3 linked regions of the Neodiprion lecontei genome follow. The protein of the gene in region 1 purifies or fractionates together with the protein of each later gene. This does not show direct contact. Links are inferred from orthologs where the notes say so. Each region holds a gene or a part of one and is shown on either strand. Other genes may lie near its edges. The genes, in order: ATP-dependent RNA helicase DDX24, KRR1 small subunit processome component homolog and MKI67 FHA domain-interacting nucleolar phosphoprotein-like.

Region 1 (6,650 bases):
TCTGACCGTGAGCGCGTAGCTCGAATTGCTAACAGCTGACTATGTATTTGTTTATGTGGAAATGTTAATATTATTTTTTAGTTTTTCGATTAATAATTAAGATTTAAAAAGTGAATAGTCGATCCAAGTCATTGTTTTGATTATGGAATTCCCTGCGCGAAAAAATAAAAGTAACGTGTATTGCTGTGTGTTTGATTGTCAATGTAAAGCTTATGGTGATGAAAAAATCAAGTTTTTCCATCTTCCACATCCCAATAAAGATTTCGTCGATAGAATCAACAACTTTGGTGATAAATACAAAAGCGATAGTCGCGTAGCTTGGACCAGTGTTGAGAATTGGAAAAAGTGTAATGACCAGTATAAGATCTTTTCACTCCATTTTAACAAAGACAATTTTTACCATCATGTAATAGCTGTTGGTTCGACTCATTCTTAACTTAAGAAAATAAGTGTTCCTTCTCAAAATATTCCTCCAGGATCAACTACAAAATATACTCGTCATGTAAATTCTAGAGAAGAAAGAATACGTAGGAGATCACTTATAAACAAGGTACTGACAGCTGAAGGTACTGAAGAATTGAGTCTTGATAAAAAAAAAAGGAGAGGACATTTTATTTCAATTATTTTTATAGATTTAAAATCATCGAATACAATAGCATCAGGTGAGCAACCGAGCTAAGGATTATTGTGTGCAATAATAAGACTGCATTCAACAACTTTGAACTGTGTGGAATTTTCATAAAGCTCACATGCTGTGGGTTCATTTTAAACCATGTCTAGTATAAGTATTACTTATCACAGTTGGATAAAAATACTTTAATGATTTGTACTACCAATCGAGTTCTTATTTTTACTATAAGTAAATAATCTATAGCTTGGATCACTTCCTGTAATTCTAAATTGTCTTTCTTTCTCCCAACAGAATAAAATTCAGTAGTTGAGCAACTCCATTTAATATTGTTCGACTATTTTCTTACAGCAGTTCTGAAGAGGATTAACATCAATTTTTTCTAGTTTATCGAGAAAGACTGAGGACTTTTGATTACTAAAAACAGCTAGAATTCTTCCTGAACAAATGATAGCACTATTGTTATTGCTTGAAACTTGGATATACTCATGTCTTGTAATTCTGTAAATAAAACAGAAAGAGAGAAAAGAATATTATAAAATAAAAACACAACATCATTGAAATTGTGAAATAATTTATTAATAATAATTTCATAATTAGATTTGACAAAAAAGCGTAATGTTTTTAAAAATCAATTTATGTAGCAGTTTAATACTCTTTCATAAAACATGATTATTTGTAAAACATGCAATCAGGCTTTGAAAAAATATGTAATGCAAATAATAGGAATTTGTAATAGTGATATATGTGTAAAAAAATCAGGTCAAAAATTGATGATAAAAATGTAAAAATAAAATGTCAGCGTAAAATTTACACGTGTAAAGCTAGAGCAAAAAATTGTACTTCTTGCTTTTCAGACAGCTGTAAATTTTCATTAAAATCCATCGATTCAGTGTTGTTAACATCTCCAGCTTAAATTTCTTTTGTTCCCTTATATTTTAAGCATGGAAATTTTTTTTTTCGCCGATAAAAGACACTCATGTTCATGTAATGGCTTGCCTTCTATTTTTCTAATGAAGATTCATGAAGCCAATCCATACACATTTTTTATGAGTGCAAGTAATCATTGGCAAGCTCTTCAAATCATTGCTGTAAAAATAAAAATCGATTTTAATAAATTAATTGTTGGAAAAATAAAATAACTGTTATAGGTTATGAATGTGACAAAATATCTTACCGGTTGCAATGGAGTAATACTGCGACGTGTTTACGAATGACCTGCCTTATAAGAAGAACTCATTCCAATTATTCGACCGTCGTTTATTATTTGACCAGTTATTTCATAGGGATTATTTTTAATATAATGAATAATTAATGTTTGTAAACAAAAAGCTAAAACACTTATAACATTGCAACCACTGATTGGTACTTGTCCACATTTTATCACGTGTCCAGCATTTAAAACCCTCACCTCCAATGAAGTTTTTATTGCTTGGCTTTGTGCAAGCAAATTCACAAATTTCTTGTAGACAAAATTTCATTTTATACATTAATTAAAATTACAAAAACAAAATCACCCGATACTGCGTTATGTACAGCATAACTTACTAACTCTAGTGCATATTTTCACCGCTTGGTTCAATTTTATAGTTAGGTAGTTAGGTTATATAATATAGTTATACTTCCCTGTCATCTGACTCGCTTCGAATTCAATGCTCGCACGTGTTCGTCGTGATATGCGCGTTTCTTTCCTCGCAAATCGAGGTTATGTTTAGTCGAAACAAACAAGCAATGGGGAAAATCAAAAAGGATAAATCTAAGACGTGGAAACCGTTAAAATTGGAGGGTGCCTTTTTTGCTGAAGGTATTGACGGCCTGATCGGAATTGAAGAATTGACGGATTACAGTCTCGAAAAAGGAACCAAAAAACGAAAAGCAACTCGCTCCGATGACAAATTAGACAAGGTAAATGGTTTCCTGCATATTGAAATAATTTTAAATATCTCTAATACTATACCTTTCACCGAACAATGGTCTCAATATTATGTACAAGCACACGAAATAAATATCAAGATAACTCTGGTACGATAGAGCAGCACTTCTTCTTTCGAGAGTTAAATCACTACCGATAACAGATGATACATATTAAGGATATTGAAGGGATTGAGAAATTTGTAAAACTTACAGTATCTGGACAATATTAACGAACTTTCGCAGTGCATGAAAGGAAAATCTGCTTACAGCATAGTTTTAGTTGATTGATTTATGACGTGTAGTCAGTAACATTACAGAGAATAACCAATAGCTCTGCCAATTTTCTTTAATATTAATAACAAGAAAATTGAATCATATTTAACAAACAAGGGTAACAAGAAGAAAAAGGCTCAGAAACTCGATGACCAGATTGACAATGACGAGGAAGACGAGCATTCAGCTCAAAAGAAAAAACTTAGAGCAGCTGTGAAAGGAGAGAAAGTGAAGCCGAAGAAGAAGAAGCAAAAATTCGACGATAAACGTGGTATAAAGCAATCTGATCTAATTGAAGAAGAGTCTGGTATTGGATCCGATAGCGAATCTAATTTGGATAAAAACGGGCATGAGGTTGACGCAGAGGATGGATGTCTGATCAATCTGGACAATCTAAAATCAGATATAAACGTACATTCATGGACTTCGCTGGGTGTACCTGAAATATTGGTAAAAGCATTGGCTGACCAAGGTTTTCAAGCTCCGACACCAATTCAGGCTCTGACCTTGGCTCCAGCAATTTTGGGAAGGAGAGATATTTTAGGTGCCGCTGAAACAGGAAGTGGAAAAACTTTGGCTTTTGGTTTACCAATTTTAAATGGTATTCTGGAGGCTCAGAGGAAAGAGGCAGATAAAGTGAATGAAAGCAATAATTCAACTGAAACAGGTGATCAGGACTGGAACAAATTAGGTGAATCAGAAAATGAAGATGACGAAGATATACTCTCTATGGATGAATTGTCAAATGAAGAATATTCAGATTCTGGTTTGTAATTATCTCTGATTGTCTATGTCAATAGAGTTATGCATTTTCATTGTTACAAAGTGTTTGACTTGAAATCGTTTGTATGCATTGACAAAATCAGTGAATCTAAGATCAATGGCTTATTTTGAAATGACGAGGAACTTGCTTGGATCGAGAAACTTCGTCGAATATCATACTTCAATTTTTCGAAATTGTTGCACATGTAGCAATAATGCCATTGGTTTATTGGCTACCCAGAATCAATTTCACTTGAATAACACGAGAGACATTTTTAAATAGAAATTAGGGACTATATATTCCAACTAGAAAACTGTTATTTGCGATGATTATTTCAACTCTCTTTTTGATTAAATAGAATATGCTCAAGCAGTATGCTAGAAATTATGTGGTATCACTAATTTTGTAAATGACTGCTAATGGTAATTGGCTGAAAATAATTTAATATGAATTACAATACTTTAATGTGTATATGACTAGATGGTTTAAACAGTCTATGATGCTTGGGTACTTTTGTTTTGACAACCAATTGTTCAATTTGATTGAGGTTTGTTTAATTCAAAAGTATGTAGATCGAACTTCATTTGCATATTTTTCTTTAAAATCAATTGTAGCAATGATAGTCTTATGTCAACCATTTTGCTTGGTGAATTGAAATACGATTTTTCATCCAATTCTTACAACTTTTTTATTTAACTAACACAAAAATGTGATTGTTAAAAAAATAAGTGGGATCATCGCAGAGAATAAACTATCCAGAAATACTGTCACTGAATTTACATAAATCGGTTCAGCTGTTTTTGAGGTACTGCGGGCACTGGAAGACATAAAAATACTTCCGATTCATTCTGTTAAACAAAAATACGTAAATAAAGCTTGATCTTCATACTTCTGAATAAATCAAACCCTAATCGAATTTAATAATTGGTTGCTATTCTCTTTTTCAGCCTTCTACTCCTATAAATACCCTTAAGGAATAAAAGTGAAGTTCTTTCTCAACAAAAATACGATGATGTCGAAATCATTGCAAGCTAGGAGTCCAAAGAGTTTTCTTTGGAGCATTAATTTTTAAACGAAAGATTCTGTTTATTACCTTAAAGAATTCTCGAGACATTAATTTGTAAAGTTTGAAGTGCACAATTGTACCTTAAATAGTTGAAAGAATAATACTACAATTATTTTGTTAAATGAGTAAATACCTTTTTTCTACTACCATGCAAAGAAACAATAAGCAGTTTGACAAATAGTACTTGGCTTTGGTGAGCATATATTTCACACCATGTATTTACAATATAACTTTTTTGTTAGAACACGACTATGTCATAAAAGAAAGTGAAGAGGATAATGAGGAAGAATCAGATTTTGAAGAAAGAGAAGAAATTGTTAGTGATGAACTGTTAAATGCGGAAGGTATCGGTTGTGTCAGAGCAATTGATAATATTATGATTAATGACTCGCGCGGCTCTCCAAAAAAGCCCCTGTACGCCTTAATTCTAACACCAACCAGAGAGTTGGCTATTCAAGTTAAAAACCATCTTGTCAAGGCTGCAAAATACACTGGGATCAGAGTAAGTTTTGGCAAAGAAATTGTAACAGGTAAATTTTTCCTTTCATACCTTACAAAGATTTCACTTCAAGATTGCTGTCGTCGTGGGAGGGATGGCTGCTGTTAAGCAGGAGAGAATTCTTAGCAAATCACCGGAAATAGTTGTTGCTACACCAGGTCGATTGTGGGAACTTATTCAAGAAGGCAACGCGCACCTTAATCAAGTTGATGATGTCAAGTAATGAAGTTTCCCCTTTGTTGCAAGCTCTATTGAACAAAACAATTTCTAGCTTCTATACTTAGAGTGATGAAGTATTTAACTTTTTTCTCCGATGAGAATCAATAACACGACCGTTTTTTTCTTTTGCTTCAGATTTCTGGCTATTGATGAGACAGATAGAATGGTGGAAAGAGGACACTTTCAAGAGTTACACAGTCTTCTCGAAAAAATAAACATGAACGGTGAAAAAATGAAAACGCGACAAACGTTCGTTTTCTCCGCGACACTGACCATGGTTCATGATATTCCGCAGCATTTGTCAAAGAAGAAAAATAAACACCGACATAAAATACAGAAATTCACACCCGAACAGAAGTTGAAAAAAGTTATTGAAATGATAGGCATTTCAAATCCTAAAGTTGTTGATGTTACTAAACAATCTGGTAAACTTTTGGTCGATTAATTTAATTGCATATTTCCCTTGACATTGTGATGGAACTTGTCATATTTTATAGGAACTGCTGCAAGTTTGACTGAATGTCGTATAGCATGTACAATTGATCATAAAGACTACTACCTTTATTATTTACTGAAAAGACATGCTGGTAGAACTTTGGTATTTTGTAACAGTATTGGTTGCGTCAGAAGGCTTGCGACTTTATTGGAGATTTTAGAATGCAATCCTTTACCGCTGCATGCTAGTATGCAACAACGGCAAAGGTTGAAGAACCTTGAAAGGTATACTCAAATTGTGCACACGGAATGGAGTACTGCATTTAACAGCTTTTTACCTGTCTATTGAAGCTTGATAAACATCAGCGTATCTTTAGATTCCAGGCAAATGAAAATGGTGTCTTAATAGCTACTGATGTCGCTGCCAGAGGTTTAGACATACCTAATGTAGAACATGTGATTCACTATCAAGTGCCAAGAACATCTGAGGTATCGTATTTTGCATTATCCATAATTTTGTATTATCCATAATTTTGTGTATTGCCTTTAACAAGCGATCATCTTCATATCAGTAATCCATATTTTTTCCATTAAACACCATAGCCAAACGAACGATTGTAATACGTACCTAATTTCATTTTATAGTTGTTTATTAAATCATATTCTAACTGTGCCTCTACTTCAGGGCTATGTACACAGAAGTGGCAGAACAGCCAGAGCACAGAAGGAGGGCATCACTATTTTGTTAATGGAACCATCAGAAATGCAATATTACACTAGACTATGCAAAACGCTTGGAAAAAGTGAGTCTCAGTTTCCATTTATATGCGTTTAGATGTCCTTGATATAAATG
Region 2 (5,633 bases), about 22 Mb from region 1:
GTAAGCTTTTGCATCATGAACCTATCACTTCTGCATTAGATTGTCATTAAACTGATGGAAAATACAGTCGGGATACCAATCATGTCAAAAAATTTTACGATAAGATTGGTTCAAGCACGTAGGATATAAGAAATTTATTATATATAACATATTATAACATAATACAATATTAGGCACTTTTTGGCGAGCACTGGTATAGCAACCAAAGTGTACCAAAAGGTACCAAACGCGTTTTCTACACTTGAGTCTTCTTCCCAATATTTCGCGCCTTTAACTACGAACAAAACGAACCAGAGCGTTTTAGTGTGCCGTTATACTTGACCAGAGTTAAGCTCCGCCCATACCAGAAGCAACGACGATTTATACCACTGGTTTATACCACTGTATTCGCCGAAAAATGCCTATTATACTTGCGTTATAGTAGGTAAGACGGTATCGATCTTCAATCCGTTTCTGATGTCCCCGGTAATTAAAATGAAGGCTTTCGTTAAATCTGGTCGTTTTCGTCTGCGAATATACTGCAGACTACACAATAAACTTACTAAGTTATACGTATAATGAATATCATAAATACGTACTGTAAATAATAGTTATATTATTATTAATTATCTAAATATAAATGATATAAAAACGTCGTACTTCCGCAATTTTAGGCTGTAAGATAAAATGTGACATAAATTAATTGATTATTCAGTTACATAGGAAGTTAACAGTCAATGATAATGTGTATGTAACCAGTCCATTTAAATAGACCCACCACTTGATTTCTGTGAATAACGAATATGGATGGATTATAAATGAAGAATAACACCTGTACGAGTAAAATGACACAATGACAGAGAAATGGTCGAAGTAGTAATAAAAAAAGAAACAAAAAAAAACGAGCGGCGATACTTAGAGATTGACAATAATGAAAAAAATTTGGCGTACTTCAAATGAACTTTGTATAACAAAAAAAAAAAAAACTTTTTAAACCTACGTACTCATCAAATTGTCGGGATTATCATTCAATTATAAAGTTCTACCGGCTAAAAAATCATACGCTAGTGTTTCATGTATTCCACACTTTGTATTGTATAATAATGAAATGAATGTAAATTAAGATGAAACAAAGTGAACAAAAAAAAGTATGCTAAACGATTATAGGAGAAATTTTTTTTAATAAAAACAAGGATTTTTTTCCAAAAACTTTACGTTAATTTATTTACAAAATTTTTTTAATACAACCCGGCTTAATCTTATAAAAAATAAACGTACCACAAGTTGTAAGTTTAGTATGATAAAAGTATATACACAGTTTAGGAAGGAGCAGCGCTACGTTTTTTAAAACCTTTTTTAACTTTTCTCTTAAACTCCTCGATGTTGATATCTCCTTTCTTGCTAACATTTTTCGTTGCAACATTTTCCTCAGGAGCAACAAAGGCCTGAGCTCTTCTTTCGACTCTCTTTTTGGCAGCCTCCTCATGCCTGGTCTCCTGTTCCTTACGTTTCTTAGCCTGTTTCTGTTCCTCTTTAAGGAAGAATTCTCCAGATGCCAACTGTTTATCGATTTTACTTTCTTGCTGCGGCGGAGGAAACGGTGTGTATTCCTTCTTAGCCTTTTTATTCTTTGGCTGTTTTCTTTTGCTAACATTTTTGCTGTTAAACTTTGGTAAAAATCTCTCCCAATTTTCGTTTTTCAGCTTAGGATCCTTGGCCAGTTCTCGCTTTATCATCAACGCCTTGATATTGTAAATCGGATGCACGTTCTTCATTGTATCTTCGCAGATTCGTCGCACCTGCTGCAGTCCCTTGTAGGGCCCAAGAGCAGCTACGGTTTGCCCTTGAACCAAAACATAGCACTTAGTTAACAGCTCGATTGACTTCAGTGTGCAGCCGTTGGGTCCGATTAGCCGCTGTCTTCGTTTGACAAACTTCTCCTTGTTCCTGACCAAGGACGATATTTTAATAATATCAGCACCGATGTCGTCCTGTAGAACTTTGACTGCCTGTTCGTATGGCACAGACCTAGACATCAGTTTAATCATGTCCCGGGCCTTGATAATTATGTAGGGATCCCAAGTTGTTCGTGTCGTCTTCACCGTCATGCTACCTTCAATCAGATCTAATTCAGCCTTGATACCCTGTTCCTGTAACGACTTCTGCACCAGCGGCCAACACTGTTTCAAATATTTTTCTCTGTACTTTGGAAACAACGTTGCGAACGAACTTTCCTCTAGTAAACGGTGTGGGTTGTGTTCCGGCTTGAATGCAGGAACCTTGAGGTCCCACGCATTGTCTACAGGGTCTGTATTTACTGGCCGGTCATCCTCCTTTTCAGAATCACTCATTTTCTTAAATTTATTTATTTATTTATATCGCAATGTCTTCGGAACCAGTTCGCACGTGGGTTTAGGCTACGCGCTTTCAGGTTATGTTGATGAAATTTCTGTGGCAGCAGTGAGTAGAGTGAGTGACGGTGAGTGAGCAGTCAACGATTTGACCGAAGGTTCGTGAACTTCAGAATATCGAATAGCAGCGCTCTGCTGCAAGTCCGCCATCTTGCATCCGACACAATATCGACATATCGGTAAGTCAAGTTTTATTTATGCTAATGAGCGTTTACAATTTCAGATTTGACCTAACGGCCGTTGTATCGACACTTGTGATATTTTTATTTTTAGTTATCTATATTTATATATTCACTTTCAACATGATGAGGAAAAATCGATGTCGCGAACCTGCGGCATCCAATTTGAAAATTAGTCGCAGAGTCTACCCTCTAGAAAACTACTTGAAGTAATTTAGCCATGCTCGTAAAGTCACAAGTGACAGCTGATTGTGATCATTCTAGTCGTGTGAAGGTTAACTTTCAACTACTAACCTAGTGCTCAAGCTTAAGCCTACTAACCAAAAGTAAAATAATATGTGATCACGATATTGTAAGTCAGTAATTATTGAAGAATTGACGTTGTGTTTGAGCGTGGCAAGCAATGGCCGATAAAAGTTCGCTATTTCAACTGAGCGACAATATCGCAGGATTGTCTGACGACTCAAAACCATCTGGTGATACTGGGCTCGGGCGTTACTTCAGCAATACGACTCACACGATATTCGATGAAATTGTCCCACCGGAAAAACAAGACATGCTGGAACAACCTTCGGCATCTGCGAGTCCTCGCCCAGTATTTGACTCCTTCTTGACAGACCCGTCAAACAGCTTCCTTGAAAACAGTTTGTCAGATGCTGCGGAACAAGTCTCCGACCATGTCACGGCCAGCGACATTCATAGAGATGCTTGGATCCCCTCGGATCAAACCAAAAAAGTATTAGCCTCGATAGCAACGTCGACGCCTGGAAGTAATTTTCCTGATAGAGAAAATCTGACGATGCCCGGACTGACGTTGCAGGGAGATTTGACCGATACGACTAAGGAGGCTGCGATTCACTTTCTGGGAGAAGAAGAAAACATTCATCGCAACGTTCTCACAGCTTCTGATGTAACGCAGGACGAACGTGGTCTGAGGAATTTGATTCAGACAGGATGTTACCGAGCGGCGATTAATCTTACTGGCAGACTGCTAGCAATTTATGGACAGGGATATGGGAAGATTAATCATCCCAGCAAACACACTCCACACTCTCTCCAATTGTGGTTTACAAGACTCGCACTTTTGGCAAAATTGAAGCACGTCGAAGTTCTTGAAAACGAGTCTAAGCCCTTTGGGAATTTAGATAAGCCTGATATGTTTTTCACATTTTATCCAGAACTTTATGGAACCAGACCTGGATCCATGGCCTGTTTTGCCTTCAGGCTGCTTCTAGCTGAGATACCTGCCTATTGCAACAAACCGAGAGTCGCTCTGGACAACCTGCATAAGGTTTTATCTACTGTAAAACAAATTATAAAAAACTTGAAAAAGGGATTCGGGGAGGATGGAGGACGCCTCAAATTCACACCGACGGAAAGAGATGACGCAATCAGATTATGGGTCGGCAGAGAGTCTAGAGTACTAATTTCCGTTGTCAACTGTGCTTTGACTCTAAAGAACTACATTTTAGCCGTTGATATTTTGGAGAGCTTGAGTGAAGGCACAGATTGGAATCCAGAGCAGAGGCAAATACTAAAATCAGCAATTAGTAGGGTTCTACTTTTACTCGGCGATGTATCAGCAGCAGAGAAGCAGTTCGCTGATGGCAGAGAAAGCTTTCAAAATCCCTCAAACTCCAAGGAATTAACAGACAGAGGCCTGATGGCTGTAGCTCAAAACGCATTTCAAGAAGCCTACAATTGTTTTAAAAAAGCCTCAGTCCTAGAACCGTCTAATATTATGCTAGTAAATAATATGGCTGTATGCTTACTTTACAATGGGCAACTTCAAGCTGCTGTACATTTATTAGAAAGTGCACTAGTCAGAAACCCAACTAAAGGACTACAGGAAGCGTTGTTGCTGAATATTTGTACCTTGTATGAATTACACACGACTCATAGTACACAGCCCAAACTACATTTATTGAGACAATTAAATCGATACAAAGGAGATGCCATTGCGGTGCAATGTTTAAAACTATCGCTTTAGAAGTTGCTAATTTAATAATTCTTGATTACGTTAGAGTAAGACCCTGTAATTGAACAACCTTATTCAGTTTTTCTATTTATTGTTAATATTTTAGTTAATGATTACTTGAAGTTTATTGTAGAAATTGTTATGGAGAATCAGTGCAATGGTGTTATCACTGTGTCAATGTTATTCGATTGGAAGTGATATTCAAACATTAAATTTGAGTTCATAAATCTACCTAGCATTATTCATAAATTAATGGACAAGGAGTATTATTACTTCGAAAAGCATCAAATTATCATCCACACCCACAATATCCTCACCATTAAAAAATTTTTTTTTTTAGATTTTGGATACCAATATTCCGTTTATGTTTTGTGTGACTTCAAACCACACTACTAAAGGACTACGATATCCACAACGGTTGATACCTTCAAGTTTTTGGCTCCTTTGTCATAATGTTGGTTTATTTTTTCAAGTTTAATGAGTAAGATACATGCATTGTTTTGCTGCAATCTGTACGACAAAAGGGAACCGTATTTATATGTATATTTCACTTATTGTATAATGCTTCGATTAGAATAGAATCGTTCTTTCATGGTGAAATGTTTTGTGGCCCTGAAAAGGGCCGATGGTTGTTGAAGAAGCCGCTCACTTAGAGCTGGTGTATTTGGTAACAGCCTTGGTTCCTTCAGAAACAGCATGCTTGGCAAGTTCACCAGGCAGAAGAAGCCTCACCGCAGTTTGGATCTCCCGAGACGTGATGGTAGATCGTTTGTTGTAATGAGCAAGACGTGAAGATTCAGCAGCGATGCGTTCAAAAATGTCGTTGACAAAGCTGTTCATGATGCTCATTGCCTTGCTGGAAATTCCAGTGTCTGGGTGAACCTGCTTCAAGACTTTGTAGATGTAGATTGCGTAACTCTCCTTCCTCCTGCGCTTCTTCTTCTTATCTCCCTTCGTAATATTCTTCTGGGCCTTACCGGCCTTCTTGGCTGCTTTTCCGCTAGTCTTCGGTGGCATCGTGCGTCAAAAAAGTAGCAAAATCCTTGAATGACGATCCTGTGCCGGTCGGTGGCGTTGTGTGAACGG
Region 3 (6,329 bases), on another chromosome or scaffold:
AAACCAGGCACAACAGTTTTCAAAGTATTGAATACTCCGCTTACGGTTTTAGCCAAAAATCTATCTAGGCGTGGTGCCACTGTGTCCGCTTTTTTATTACTGCTGCTGCTTGGCCTCAAAAAGTGACGTAATTGTGGTGGATAATCGGCAGCTAAACGAGAGCAAACTAGTTTTAAATAATTTTCCATCTCCACACGTCCGCCTTCTGGTAAAGTTATGTTTGATATTGCAACCGCCAATGATGGAACCTGAAGTTAGATATTTGAATGCTTTTTACGTCTGTGTTTCAGCGATTATTAAGCATGGTTGTATGTCAGTTGATAATTACTTCTGCTAGACTAGCGTGAAGTTGTACAAAATCTGAGTACTGCCTCTTAACGGTGGCTGTAGTAGTTTCAAATAAGTGTGATCCATGCTGTTCTATGTCGTCAAACTGTATGCAGTACAGGAGCTGCTGAGAGCCATCGGGTGCCGTATGAAACTCTGTCCAAGGAATAGTTAAGTGGCTGCCTTCGTAAACTGTGCAAGACTTTTCCTCCAATTGTCTGCAATTAAATTTAGTAGAAGCTTCGGGATTATTTTTTTATTAGCTTCCAAATTAAGATTTTGCATGAACCTGGAGAAGCGGCCAGGTCTGAATTAAACTGGTTGAAAAAAATACACATTTACAATGGTGTTGAGGCGTTGGATTTTTGGTGCAAAAGACTTCGCAGTCTGGCGATAGTCGTTGCAAAATCAGTTGGTTCTTCATAAACCGGAGACAATCTGTCTTCCTCTGGTTCAGAATCAGGTTCAGATATTTCAACATTAGCCCACAATCCTCTGTGACTTATTTCTAAGCCCTCCAAACTCAGAGCAGCTTTCCTTTCCATTGTGCTTTGTGCATTCTGATTGTTATCTTTGAAATCTGGTGAAATATCAGCACCTTGACCAGCTTTAGGTAAGGGACGCGATATCGCTGCAGCTGTTGTGGAACGTATGGCATCACTGAGTGCCGTAGACACAACACTCTGAAAAGATTCGACTTTGATGAGTATGATTTGGATTAAAGGAGATCCCCAAATAAATAGAAAGAAGGTATTACCACCTCGCTAGCCGAAGCACATTTCTCATTTTTTACTGGTTCTGAGCTAATCGCTCTTACAATTTCTTCTAAAATCCACTCTGGCGAACTTATGCTTTCTATTCCTGTGAGCAATTTTTTAGCCAGTATTGAAAATAAGAGTTTACAAGGTAACGAACTAGTCAATTCCCATTGTAAAAATTCTCTTGCCAATACAGTGACCACTCGATGAAGACTGTGCTCTAACGCCGCTAGGCTTCGCGAACCCGGATGAACATAGCGATAGGCTTCTTCGATGTCTAGTGCAGTTCCCTTCTCAACACGACGCAGCGCTCTGATGAAAGGAATAACAACATTGCAGTAAATCGTTAGTTTCCTAAGTGAGACTGCAATGAAAACGAAGCTAGGTGAATCAGTAATTGCAGTGCATAATTATACAATGTTTAACATGTGGATCATTACCTACGATATTCCTTCAAATGCAACAAGAATATATTGCCAATTTTTCTAGCCAATTCAATTCGATCAATTCGTATCAATTGATGATTGAATTTAAGAATCAGATTTTCGAGCAACTGTTTGGACTCGTTAGGAAAAGCATCGTCATTGCTCACATTTCTGTACCAAATTTTAACAAAGTTCGCATCAATATCGTTTATAACTTTTTCCACATTTATTTTTTCCACAAAAGTTACAGGCAGGTCCTGTTCTAAAACAGATCCATCATCTAAATTTCCATCAGCCCTCAGGTCTCTGAGAAGATTATTTATCTCTGTGTTTTGTCTGTCTATCTGATTTTCGTCCTTCGTTTCTTCATCGTTATCGACACTTTTAACTACCGGTTTTTGTGGCTGATGACTACTACCTGTTTGGTCGTTTTTCATCCATCCCTGAGCCCATTTGTTGAAAGGTTCAGTGGTCAAAGGTGCGTTGACTTTGAGCATTAATCTCAATACGAAACAGCTTAGCCATATCGATATAGTGATCACAAAAATTGCCCAAGATATTAAAAAATGAAGCGGCACAGTAAGATGAGCGACGTGTGTTTGAATCGTCATGCAAATTGTAACAGAGAAAAGACTGATCAATAAAATACGATTTGACCAGCTTATCGAGAATACTTTCTCCATATTTATTTTCGTTAGTTAACCACTTTCTGCTTCAATTGTTTCTACAGATAAGTATCATTTTTGGTGTTGCGTGTTGCACCTCGTGTTACTTTGAAGTCTTTGATATATTTCACAATCTTTTTCTCTAAATATAAAAAAATGTCGTCCAACTTTCGTTCAGGTCGTTGCAACAACGATGAATATTCTTCTCTGTCATTCCTGCCATAACGTCTATATTTTCACGCGTATAATGACACATGATTAACGAACCTCATCGATGATTACTGATCTTATCTCTTGTGCTCACGTTGACAGTAGTTGACAGTTGTGTGACAGGAGCCGACGGATCTCGCAATTTTTTTACTACAGTGTGTTCCGGAATACATTGAAAAAAGCGGCAATCACGCGTCGCGGCGACCTCTGGTGGATATTCAGTGAACCTTTTGTCGCTACCGTAGTGACTCTAAAGTTTAATTCCGCAAATCCCGCCACCGTTACGCATCAGCTAATTTTCTTCAATTTTTTCCACACGATAATCGAATAAATAGAATTCAAAGTGGAGTAATTTTTTTTTGAAAAAACAATATGAAGATAGCAAAACAAGCTGCAGATCAATCGGATCAATCGACACTCAGCAAAGCCGTTAAAAATGTGAAGCAAAAACTTTTAACGGTATGTTTCGAATGTATCCAAACACGTGTTTAACATAACCTATAAATCTGTTGCGCATTCGGCAACTTATCCAGTCCAATCAAGTCTGCTATTTCGGTCAGCCGATAGTTGAAACTGACACTCGACGATTTGTCATTTCAGAAACCTAAAAAACCCGAAGCTATAATTCCTATCGAGAACAGCGATGTTCCATCGTCAACTGAATCAGTTTCGCTTAATAGAGGGATTGTTTATCTTGGGCACATTCCTCATGGGTTCTTCGAAGAACAAATGATTAGCTATTTCAAGCAATTTGGGAAGGTTACCAGAGCTAGAGTGGTTAGATCTGTAAAGGTAGATATCTGGGAGCCTCGTTTTCAACGATCTTATTCTTTCAGTATATAACCAAACAACATTGAAGTTGCAAACACGTATTTTCATTCATTTCCATCTTGTAGACCGGTAGAAGCTGTGGTTATGGGTACATAGAATTCATGCACAGCGAAGTGGCAAAAATTGCTGCACAGTCTATGAACAACTACCTGATGTCTGGAAGACTGCTAAAAGGTAGATTAGTTTTGATAGGAAAATTCAAGTTCATTTTATAAGCAGTAAAGTATCGACGTTTTCTTAACTGTTGTTATTCCGTAAAATGTTTTCAGCGACGTACATTCCGCCTGAGAAACAGCATGGGCGTTATTTCGCAGGGCGTCCATGGAGTAAGCAACAATTTCCTCGATCAGTGAAAAGAAAGGAACAGAATATGCGAAAAAACCAAAATGTGGATAATAGTGTTGACAGTATGCTGGCTCAGCGGAAAATGAAAAAAATTTCTGTTATGGAGAAAAAACTTGAGCAGGCAGGAATTTTCTATAAGATTAAACCCGTTGAAGTACCCGAAGACACGCAAGTTAAAAAGAGAAAAAGCTCTGCCTCTCGACCAGCTTCAACAGGAACGAAAAAGATAAAAACTTCCAATGGTACGGTAGCGAGTGAAATTGACGCTGAAGATGGTTCTTTACAAAAAGTGGAGAAAAAAGCAGTTGTCAAGGAACCTGCGATTAACAAGACGAAGAAAAAGAACAAGTCAGAATTGAAACCGGCTGACGAGGTTGCCGTAGCTATCAAGGCTAGTATTTTAGCAGTTCCAAAACCGAAGAAGAAAATTTCTACATGCACAGTTCAAGTACCCGAAATAAGCTTGCCAAAAAAATCTAAGAAGAAAATGGCAGCTGATTCCGTTCCTATTAAGAAGAAGAAAGAAGCAGTGTTAACTGAATTACTTGTAGGTAAAAAATTGAAGGGAAAAATTGAGTCGATTGATCATCCGCCTACTGCTAAGAAGCTGAAACAGCAAGTGGAAGTGATTGATCATCCACCAACTGTTAAAAAGACAAAACAGAAAGTACAAAAGAATATCCCTGCTGCAGTGCCGCTCATTGAAAAGTCGGGACAAAAGAAAATTTCTTTCCTAGTACCAACGGTTAAAAAATCCAAAAAACAAATAGCAGCTCAAGTATCGCTGAGCAAGAAAGGGAAAAAGAAAGGTGCAGCGGCATAAATGATGATGCATCGAACTAAGCTGGATTTAATTGTAATTGAGTTTTTCAGCAATTGTGACGGATCGAGTTTTGGTTTACTTTATGTTTCGTGAAAATGATCGATTAGATCAATGGAACTTTTACCTCATATACGATTTTAGAAATCGTAAATAATTTTTCCTACGATCCTTGGAATGGATTGTACATACAGCTCATGTATTTCATCACAGCGTTTAATAAACGAAGTATGCGTAATCTGTGATTTTGCGAAAGAATTATTTTATACAAACGTTCTGCACAGAACGTTGAATAAATCTTAGTTAAAGATAACAAATAGGGCCTGGATTAATATGTAAATATATATTTTGTTTATTTAAATCAATTTTATTCCTTATTTCGTTTTTTACATAAAGTATGGAGTTTGGTGCTAAAAAATACAGTTTATATGTTCCATATTTTAGTTTGTCAAGTATATTATATAATTATATTTTGAAAATTTTAATACATATTTATCACGGCCCTGATAATAAATCTTTTAGAAATATTTCAAGAATTTATTTTATGCTCCGGAAATCGATAAACCTTTGATATTGTCGATAAATTTATTCGCTTTACTGTAAACTAGCGAATAATATTTACAATTTAGTTATTTCTTCTAATTAAAAACAAATTTTATATAAATACGTAATGTATTGTATATTTTATTATATATCCACTCCGCTGGTCAGAATTAATCATAATTTTTTTCCGCGGTTCTGAGATAAGGGGCACCCTTTCGTTCGTTTCCATTTCATACGTCTGTTTTGAAACCAAACTTTGACCTGAAAAAAATGGATGAGAGTTGAATAACCCTATCATTCAATGTCGCGTGAACAGTTATTAACTGCACCTTGTTTAATAATTTTTGTGAATTATTCAAACATGGCTCGAGGCTTTATTCAATCATTCATTCGAAGTGATTTACATAAATCGTATGAATTAGTTGAATAATTATGAAAATAAACGTTAACAAAGAATTACCTGCCGCTCCGTTAAATCTAAAGCCACGGCAATTTCGTATCTCCGAAGTCGGGTGAGATAATTCATGTGCGCGAATTCGTACTCCAAGTGACGAACTTGTTGTTTAGTAAATGCTGTTCTTTCCTTGCGTGGTTTTTCCGTCGCGGTTCCGCTCAGCCTTTTACTTGCCTCTGAAATAATTGAAAGAGTTTATTTATCTTCATCGAATAAAATATAGGGATTATGCTCTGGATATTTGTCACGAAGTAAATTTGTAGAAGCTGGTGTTAAGTTCGATACACTCGAAAGAAAAAGACGAAGATAAATGGGAATTTGATTGTTTATATACCCACTTAAATTACGTCGATCAGGGGATAGGGTTCAAATTCCGAAATTAAAAAGTGTCGAAAGCGTGTAATTCCGAATTCTTTTGTTGCGAAATATGTAGTCAAGAAATCAAACTTTGTACGAAACATCGAGGTTTCGAATGCTCTGAAACCTGACGCTCAAAGTTCCGAAAGGATAAAATGCTGGAAGGGCGTAACTATCGCAAGTTTACTTTTCGGAACTTTGTTCTATCGTAACATGAATTTTCGGAATCTTGCATAATTCGGAACTTTGATCAGTCGATTTTCCGACCATTCGAAACTTTGTTGTTTCTTCAAAGTTTGATTACTTCACTTCTGTTATCGCCACCAAATAATTCGGAATTAACGCCTTTCTAAACTTTTCAAATTCGGTATTAACTGCGTAATTTCGTCCTGTCCAAAACGCGAAAATGAAGTAATCCTGCAATATTCCGATGGCCTAATTAACACGTCTCGTCGTACGGAATGAAAGGACGATGCACATATAACGCGGAGGGCGTCGCAAAACCGTGAATTTTTGCCCGTCGGCAATCTTTTTGCCGTCGGAGATGAAAATAACTGCATCTCCGATGCGTCATATACGATGACGTTCTCCTTG

Evidence for each region.
Region 2: the proteins of ATP-dependent RNA helicase DDX24 (region 1) and KRR1 small subunit processome component homolog purify together in Homo sapiens (affinity purification with mass spectrometry; 3 studies listed by BioGRID and IntAct, with this or other methods). This does not show direct contact. The link is inferred for Neodiprion lecontei from reciprocal best matches to the Homo sapiens genes DDX24 and KRR1.
Region 3: the proteins of ATP-dependent RNA helicase DDX24 (region 1) and MKI67 FHA domain-interacting nucleolar phosphoprotein-like purify together in Homo sapiens (affinity purification with mass spectrometry; 3 studies listed by BioGRID and IntAct, counting the BioPlex papers as one, with this or other methods). This does not show direct contact. The link is inferred for Neodiprion lecontei from reciprocal best matches to the Homo sapiens genes DDX24 and NIFK.

What each region holds. Positions count from the first base shown.
Region 1 is NC_060262.1:18,438,231-18,444,880, reverse strand, and holds the start of ATP-dependent RNA helicase DDX24, read left to right. Parts: upstream 1-2,257; 5' UTR 2,258-2,335; coding exon 2,336-2,533; intron 2,534-2,932; coding exon 2,933-3,581; intron 3,582-4,886; coding exon 4,887-5,146; intron 5,147-5,216; coding exon 5,217-5,362; intron 5,363-5,497; coding exon 5,498-5,787; intron 5,788-5,859; coding exon 5,860-6,082; intron 6,083-6,174; coding exon 6,175-6,286; intron 6,287-6,482; coding exon 6,483-6,600; intron 6,601-6,650. Other genes in the region: GPN-loop GTPase 1, read right to left, coding at 2,040-2,118. UniProt on the Homo sapiens protein: ATP-dependent RNA helicase that plays a role in various aspects of RNA metabolism including pre-mRNA splicing and is thereby involved in different biological processes such as cell cycle regulation or innate immunity.
Region 2 is NC_060262.1:40,402,890-40,408,522, forward strand, and holds KRR1 small subunit processome component homolog, read right to left. Parts: upstream 2,458-5,633; 5' UTR 2,331-2,457; coding exon 1,299-2,330; 3' UTR 1,213-1,298; downstream 1-1,212. Other genes in the region: trafficking protein particle complex subunit 12, read left to right, coding at 2,973-4,559; histone H2B, read right to left, coding at 5,193-5,564. UniProt on the Homo sapiens protein: Part of the small subunit (SSU) processome, first precursor of the small eukaryotic ribosomal subunit.
Region 3 is NC_060260.1:4,669,525-4,675,853, reverse strand, and holds MKI67 FHA domain-interacting nucleolar phosphoprotein-like, read left to right. Parts: upstream 1-2,640; 5' UTR 2,641-2,757; coding exon 2,758-2,844; intron 2,845-2,985; coding exon 2,986-3,177; intron 3,178-3,281; coding exon 3,282-3,390; intron 3,391-3,485; coding exon 3,486-4,384; 3' UTR 4,385-4,619; downstream 4,620-6,329. Other genes in the region: uncharacterized protein LOC107226332, read right to left, coding at 1-248, 329-545, 670-1,010, 1,088-1,397, 1,526-2,193.